Linked DNA regions of Xenopus tropicalis. The protein of the gene in region 2 purifies or fractionates together with the protein of the main gene of each other region. This does not show direct contact. Links are inferred from orthologs where the notes say so. Each region holds a gene or a part of one and is shown on either strand. Other genes may lie near its edges. The genes, in order: lto1 and abce1.

Evidence for each region.
Region 1: the proteins of abce1 (region 2) and lto1 purify together in Homo sapiens (affinity purification with mass spectrometry; 4 studies listed by BioGRID and IntAct, with this or other methods). This does not show direct contact. The link is inferred for Xenopus tropicalis from reciprocal best matches to the Homo sapiens genes ABCE1 and LTO1.

What each region holds. Positions count from the first base shown.
Region 1 is NC_030680.2:12,878,440-12,882,716, reverse strand, and holds the start of lto1 (protein LTO1 homolog), read right to left. Parts: upstream 2,916-4,277; 5' UTR 2,889-2,915; coding exon 2,839-2,888; intron 2,730-2,838; coding exon 2,624-2,729; intron 1,053-2,623; coding exon 982-1,052; intron 204-981; coding exon 86-203; intron 1-85. UniProt on the Homo sapiens protein: The complex LTO1:YAE1 functions as a target specific adapter that probably recruits apo-ABCE1 to the cytosolic iron-sulfur protein assembly (CIA) complex machinery. May be required for biogenesis of the large ribosomal subunit and initiation of translation.
Region 2 is NC_030677.2:59,060,188-59,064,001, reverse strand, and holds part of abce1 (ATP-binding cassette sub-family E member 1), read right to left. Parts: intron 3,007-3,814; 5' UTR 2,955-3,006; coding exon 2,852-2,954; intron 2,539-2,851; coding exon 2,453-2,538; intron 2,240-2,452; coding exon 2,142-2,239; intron 1,676-2,141; coding exon 1,558-1,675; intron 1,046-1,557; coding exon 908-1,045; intron 727-907; coding exon 657-726; intron 188-656; coding exon 91-187; intron 1-90. UniProt on the Homo sapiens protein: Nucleoside-triphosphatase (NTPase) involved in ribosome recycling by mediating ribosome disassembly. Able to hydrolyze ATP, GTP, UTP and CTP. Splits ribosomes into free 60S subunits and tRNA- and mRNA-bound 40S subunits.

The DNA.
Region 1 (4,277 bases), on a different chromosome or scaffold from region 2:
CATAAAATTACATTATGCTGAATAGGCCCTTCCCTTTTGTATTATAAAATAATTTAATAGAAAACATGCATTGTGCAACACTAACCTGTTTTACCTTCCCACGGATATTTGCCATGTCCTCTTGAAGATTTGGATTAGTTGGATCATCTGAATGAAAATTCCGAATCATGGCAATCAGTGAATCAAGGGCTTTTATTTTTCGCCTGCATAGAATTAAAAAAAATAACATCAATTTCCATTTATCGTAATGATTTACATCGTAACACTAGGCTAAAACACTTCATTGAAACTTAACAAGCAAAGCAATTTTTAGCAGTTTGGATCACTTGGTGCTTACAAGTCCAACAAAGAATTGTAGCAGTTATGACTGCATTCACTATTGACCTAATCTTATGAGGCCATCTTTTGAGTGTCAGTGGCGCTGCACATGCTCTGTGTGCTCTGTGTTGCTGTTGAGATGCTAAACTTACAGACCTTCTGAAATCTTAAAAGGAGGTTACCTCTGTCACAGAAGCTAATGCAACAGGGCTGATAATTCATGAACTCAGATGTAGAATACACTGGTTTCCAAGCTGCCATGTAAACTGAATCAGCTTGTAATGTAAAACAGAGATTTTTGACTGGCTTCTGTGGGCTTGAGCTGGCACAGAAACCCCAAAAAACAGCATTTCTAGCCTAGTTCTTTGTTTCTTTGGTCTCCTTTAAAAGGAAAGCACTATACATAACCTTAAGGCCTCAATGACAAAATGTTTGCATATTTTACCGTTGGATAAAATTGTGTTTTATTCATAACGAAAAACCATCTATTCTACTTATTTAACTACACAAGTCTTTTGTGACTGGATTTTCAGGAAAAGGTTTAACATGACATCCCTGAGGTCCTATTTTCAAAATAAGCTATATTGCTAGTGTAAGCAGGAACCTAATGTTCAGATTGATTGGATCAGTGGTGGTTACTTATTAAAGCACAGGAAAACAAACCTTTGACGATCATCAGAAGCAGGTACCAATAGAAGCCTCCATGTTGAAGCGAAACCCAGGTAACAGCCAAGCTGCGTCCAAAGAGGAGAAAAAGTGTAATTAAATGGGGCAATGGTTATTATCATTATTTATATGAGTTTTTTGTGGAGCAATCGCCTTTGCATTAAAGGAGAAGGAAAGTCAAAATCTATTAAGCACGCTATTAAATAGTACTACTATTGCTGTGTAAAAACGCCATATTCCTGGCTTGCCTAATGAAAGATTTACAGAGATACACATACTAGAACCTACATACTTGTTTCAGTGAACGGCGCCCGCCATCTTGTCTGTATGGGCTGAAAAGCACAAGCCAGCCCCCCCTCCGCTCCCCGCTCCCGCCACAAAGCCTCCGCCGCTCCCCGCTCCCGCCACAAAGCCTCCGCCGCTCCCCGCTCCCGCCACAAAGCCTCCGCCGCTCCCCGCTCCCGCCACAAAGCCTCCGCCGCTCCTCACTCCCGCCACAAAGCCTCCGCCGCTCCCCACTCCCGCCACAAAGCCTCCGCCGCTCCCCACTCCCGCCACAAAGCCTCCGCCGCTCCCCGCCACAAAGCCTCTGCCGCTCCCCACTCCCGCCACAAAGCCTCCGCCGCTCCCCACCACAAAGCCCCCGCCGCTCCCCACTCCCGCCACAAAGCCTCCGCCGCTCCCCGCCACAAAGCCTCTGCCGCTCCCCACTCCCGCCACAAAGCCTCCGCCGCTCCCCACTCCCGCCACAAAGCCTCCGCCGCTCCCCACTCCCGCCACAAAGCCTCCGCCGCTCCCCACTCCCGCCACAAAGCCTCCGCCGCTCCCCACTCCCGCCACAAAGCCTCCGCCGCTCCCCGCCACAAAGCCTCTGCCGCTCCCCACTCCCGCCACAAAGCCTCCGCCGCTCCCCACCACAAAGCCCCCGCCGCTCCCCACTCCCGCCACAAAGCCTCCGCCGCTCCCCGCCACAAAGCCTCTGCCGCTCCCCACTCCCGCCACAAAGCCTCCGCCCCTCCCCACTCCCGCCACAAAGCCTCCGCCGCTCCCGCCACAAAGCCCCCGCCGCTCCCGCCACAAAGCCCCCGCTGCTCCCGCCACAAAGCCCCCGCCGCTCCCGCCACAAAGCCCCCGCCGCTCCCGCCACAAAGCCCCCGCCGCTCCCGCCACAAAGCCTCCGCCTCTCCCGCCACAAAGCTTCCGCCGCTCCCACCACAAACCCCCCAAGCTCCACAAACCCTCTGCCGCCCCGCTCCCCCCATCTGCTTGTCACAGAGTTCGCCGACGCTGCGTCGCCATGGCAACCGGCCGCTCCTGCTGTGTGCGCATGCGTCGCCTGCATTAACAAGCCGCCAAGTCTTGAGGGAGTGATGCATTATGGGAATCTTCTCTACCCAGCTCAGCGTTTTTTTTTCTCTGTATGGGGAGACTTAAGGGCACTATTGAGAGAACTGAAGGTATGCCTGCAGCTTGGGATTAACTCTTTATTAGCCTTTCCTTCTCCTTTAATACATGGCATCCTTTAACCAGTGTCACTACTTATTTTTTAGTAGCACCGATTTACACTATGAATGGGGGTATCCTGTGAATCACACACACACACACATATATATATTTAATAGTATATAATTATACACACCTCCGATCCCATTCTTGCTCCATAGACAGCTCCATACTGCTTGCCCTCTGACTCTCCCGCACTGTTTCCTTCCGCCAACCCTTCCTCATACCCCTCCCCGCGGTACCTGCAAAGGAACCCAAGTCACTCGCACAACCACATAATGATACATTTCAAACTTGAACTTCCTCTGCCTGCAGCTGCACATCGGTAAGTAAACATAACACAGGCCGCACCTCTGCTCGCACATAATAATGTCATCAAACAGGTCGTCTGTCCCTTCCATTACTGCTCTCTGTCCCTCTCACGCCGCACACACAACCCTAGCTCAGCGAAATCAGCCTCTGAAAGAAATTCCGGAATTACGTCACACCACATCCGCCTCCCACAAGCAAATAGGAAGAGCGCTGGCCTAGCCGCTGCGTGAGAGCACCAAGATGGCGCCTGTAAAGCGCACTTCCTGTTTCGCAGGTTGCTATGGCTACTGCTTGTGACGCAGCATCGTCTTAGAACGCGGGAAAAGCGTGATAATAAGTAATAATAAGTAATAATGAGTAACTACAAGACCTGAGGTGCGAATGGGAGATTAGCTCTGGGGTAATGCACTAACAAGGTTTTAATGTAACTCTACCATTGCCCTGTCATTTGTGTTAGATAATATACAGGGATTATGAATAGAAAACAGGGTGGGTGCATAGTTGGAAAGAGTTTCTAAGTTTAAATGGGAATTCCCTGCTTTCAGCTTGTGGGACCGCAATGTTGGTGAGGCCATAGTGACGCACAGTGTCTGTGGTGTTTTTGCGGGCAGAGAGAAGTGGGCGGTATTCCAGGTGTGACTGTGGCCTTATGGTGGGATTCAGAGGGCATTTACACAGGGTTGGACTGGGCCGTCGGGACCCTGTTGCCATTCCCCCAGCCGCGGGTGTCCTCCCTTAACATGTTTCACTTACGGTGGCCATACGGGTTAACAGGGTCAGACTGGGGTGTCGGGACACTGGGAAAAATCACGGTGGGCCCCGGCGGCCCAGACCCGACCCCCCTGCCAGACTGCTCCTCCCCTGACGCATTAAATGTACGAGCTCAGGGGAGGACGTCAGGTGGAGGGCCCTGCAAGGGGGGTTAGGGGGGCACCTGTAGGGCCCCTGGGGTGGGAGTGGGGTGGGCCCTTTACCCCCCAGTCCGACAGGTTAAAACCTACGGGTGGGCGATATCGGGTGAATTTAGGCTAATTCAGTTGTTTGGCGACAATTGAATTAGAACGCCGGTCCCCGATCCAACTAAATTTTTTAACCTACCCGATCAATATCTGCCCGATTTCAGGCCAGATATCGGTCGGGCAGGTCTGTCGTTTGTGCCCCTACACGGGCCGATAAGCTGCCGAGTTGGTCTATGGGACCGATATTGGCAGCTACAATTGGCCCGTGTATGGCCACCTTTACACGCGCTCAGGGAAGGACGTCGGACGGGGGCCCCTGCGGGGGACGTGGCCAGTGGGGGCACCTTGGGGGGTGCAGGACCTCTGGGGCAGCAGCTCTGGTGGGCCCTGAACCCCCCCAGTCCAACTCTGCATTTGGAACCAGGACACCCACAGCCAAAGCCCCAGTATTGGACTGGGACAGCAGTGGCCCTTTGGGGCTGCAATGGGAAGGGCCTGGGGTCCGGTTTTTAGATGGGC
Region 2 (3,814 bases):
CTGTTTTTTGTCATTCTTCCCAATCTACAAACCACAAGTTTACTGTATAATTATTTAAGCAGCCAAATAACTCATAAGAATAAATCTTACATGTCTGCTCTCTGGATACAGACAACCGCACAAGCAAACCTCTGTAGCTCTCCCCCAGAAAGATCCTCCACGTTTCTGTCTCTCAGATGAGTAAGGTCTGTAAAACATGTGTTTATTAGCAGTAATCTCCTCCAAGTCTGTGCATACTGTATCTTTCGACAAGAGAACAAGTGCTGGAAAATTTAGGAATTACATTGAATTAAGTAAACACTAAAAAGTTCTGTGACAATACAAAGAAACAATATCAAAGGCTGCTCTGTCATTATGCCAGTCAAAAGTCTGATGTGGCTCATATATACAAAATATGTAAACATCCATGGTAAAGGGCATTTAAGCATCATACAACCAGTTATGAGGCCACAGGCTGAGCACTTCTCTATAGGTTATTATAGTGTAAGTTCTCAAGTGAGCCATTATATCAATAAGTTATTCAGAGCCCACCAAGTGCTAGAAGGTTTTTTGCTGGATTTATGAGAGCTGCACTGAACCTTCTAGCGGTAAAAGCAGGGGAAATAATACATGACCATACATTAATGTACAGCCTATATTAAAGATTTTATACTCACCTAGTTGATCACATACAGATTTCTGTGTCTTTGTCTCATCTTTTCTATCCAATATGGTACCCACAGGTCCCTGTGTACATAATTAAAAGAAAACAAAAAGTTTTTTTATTACATAAATGTTAACAGTGCATCCTACAGTTATAGGAAATCTCTGTAAATTTTGTAAATGCACTATAGTAATAATTAAGCAAGCAATTCATACCAAACTAAAATGTAGTTAACAGATTCTAGAAAATAAAAAGTGCAATTACCTTTGCAGCTTTTGGAATTTGGTCCACATACTGAGGTTTAATGATGGCCTTCAGGTCATCCTCCAAAATTTTGGTGAAGTAATTCTGCAACTCTGACCCCCTGAAATAGGTCAAGATCTCCTGCCAGTCTGGAGGATCCTTGAAAATAAATACAATAATGAGGAAACTATTTATATTATAGTTCTCTTTAGAGAGGAAAAAAAAAAAAAAAACACACAGAATGGAAAACAAGCACTACAAGCAAATTACTAAACAAGCTCTTCGCATCAATTTAAATGCTATTCAGAAACTTAAACTGTGGGCAAAAAACAAATTCCAAAAAACCCCCCAAAAAACAGGTAAGAAGGTGGCACTACCCTGCGACACAATGCTCCGCCTTCTTGGTATATTTTTTCCCCAGGAAAAATGCCAGCCCATGGGGAAAGTGACTGATTTAATTCACTGAAGGAGCATACAGTGGCACAGCTCCAATGAATTATGGTTTTCTTGTCCTTTAAGATCTCTCTAAAAATCACATTAAAAAAAAAAAAAACACATTCTATCTTTGAAAACAGAAGAGTTCAACACCGCCATAGACTGAATGAAATCAGTCAACCAGCATACCAATTATATTATTCAGCTGTCATTGAAATTTGGCAGCCTATACTTACATCATGCTTTCCAAGGTTTGGCTTCTGCTTTCCAGCCAAAATTTTCAATGCTGTAGATTTTCCGATACCATTTGTACCAACCAACCCAAGTACTTCTCCAGGTCGGGGAATAGGCAACCTTTATACAACCAAATCATTTGTTAAAATATATACAGTTTGTAATCCTCATGGCTGCAGATTAAATTAAAAAAATTAAAAAAGTCAGCACTGTCCAACTATTTCCAGGTAGTGACATAGTACTTGCTCATGGGCCAGATTATATAAACAGATAGTGTCATACAGAGCAAACTAAGGAGCCCACAGGCAAGCGGGGAGAAATAAAAATGCCTTGCAGTGGTACACCAAGTCCAGGGTCCTCCATGAGGACAGTAAAGATCTAAGCACCAGAAGTACTGCTGGTGAACTCTTTCATGTTTGATAGATATGCCCCTTTAAAAAGAACCTAGCTCATAGCATCCACAGAGTGGTACTTCCTATGTACACAGTATAATTCAGGAAGAGACAAATGAAATGTTTCTATTTTTCCACCTTAATTCAATTCTGTAATTTGCAGCATCTAACTCAAATATTCAAGAATCACTCACCTGTGAAGTTTAAAGGCATTGGCACAATATCTGTGGGTTGTTTCCTTCTCCAGATTGCTCGGCAAGTTGACAATTGACAATGCTACAAAGGGACATTTCTGTAAGAAAACAGAATAATATATTACACAACTGGTTTAACTACTTGCAATCGTTTACTCTATTTTACCAATATTCACACTTGAGGCTCAACTTAAGCAACAGCCCTGCTCCACAAAATCAACTAGCATACATACACATCTGAAAAAAAATGTCTGCTGCCAATATCAGCTGTCCCTAGCTACTGTAAATGTTAAAATTAAAAAATTGTTTACCTTGATACAGATACCACATCCAATGCACAAGGTTTCGGATATCCATACAATTTTACTTTGTGGAGTCACTTCAATGCACAATTTTCCTACAAAAAAAAAATAAATGCACTAATTACAAACTAAGCACTTCAATTGTTGTTGGGCATAAAGCAGCACAGAAAAATAGAATATACAGAATACTGATTCTATATATTCTATTTTTCTGTGCTACTTTATGACCAACAACAATTTATCAAAAATAATATCACAGCTTATAAAAAAGTTTTTTAAAAGACATTACACAAATACACAATTAATATGGATGCTGCCAGTCCCCAAAGAGCTGCACACTAATTTACATTTTTTAAATTCTTAATTAAATCTAAATCTGAATCATAACCGAACTGAAACGTCACTTACCCATCCTTACAACAGGGCAACTCTTTTTGCATTCTTGACGACATTTCTTTGGCTTGCATTTGTCATGATTGACAATAGCTATTCTCGTTAGTTTGTCTGCCATATTGTCTGGTATAACTGTAGCTTTGTTTTTCAATGGACACCAACTTTAACACCTGGGAAAACAAAATAGTAAAATTTTGGGTCAGAACTGCATTTAGGGTAAACTGCCACAAAAAAAGCACCATTTAATTTCAAGTGCTTTTATTGAAACAAAATGTTTAAAAGAGAAAATCAGAGGAAAAAGAAAAATCATGTTGTGGTGGAGGGCATTGTGCCAGTGAGGTAAACTGTGAACCATCAGGTAAATGGAGTTTTCTGTTACACTAGTAAATGCTTTTATTACATTCCGGAACTTCTAACACAGAAGGTAGATGGATCTAAGGGCTCTGGCACACGGGGAGATTAGTCGCCCGCGGCAAAACTCCCTGTTCGCGGGCGACTAATCTCCCCGTGTGCCAGAGCCCTAAGGCTGACTTCCTCAGAGTGACTTCAGTGAATGGGATGCCATAGCACCCATCTGATGTGCAATGGAACAGATAAGGCAAGGTTGCTACAGGTAACTACACTTAAGTAATTTAGCACCTATGTTTATAAAGTAGGCCTTCTACATTTTACAGAAATTAAGCAATTTATGGACCCCATTTTAAGTTAGCTGTCAAAAAATATATGAATCAAAGTATGTTTGCAAACCCAAGTGCAATTCACACTGATCTGAATCAGCAGACAGAGAGGGGTAGATGGTTTAGTGCATGTCAACAAATGTATTGTTCTAAGACAAGAATCAGCAACAAGTTGCTACAACTCATGGCACCTCATTAGTCTGGTATGGTTGGAAAGGAACAATCTGGAGATTCTTGGCTCCCATACTGTCAGAGTAATTAATTGTAAATAATCAGTACAAAAGGATACAGATTGTATCTA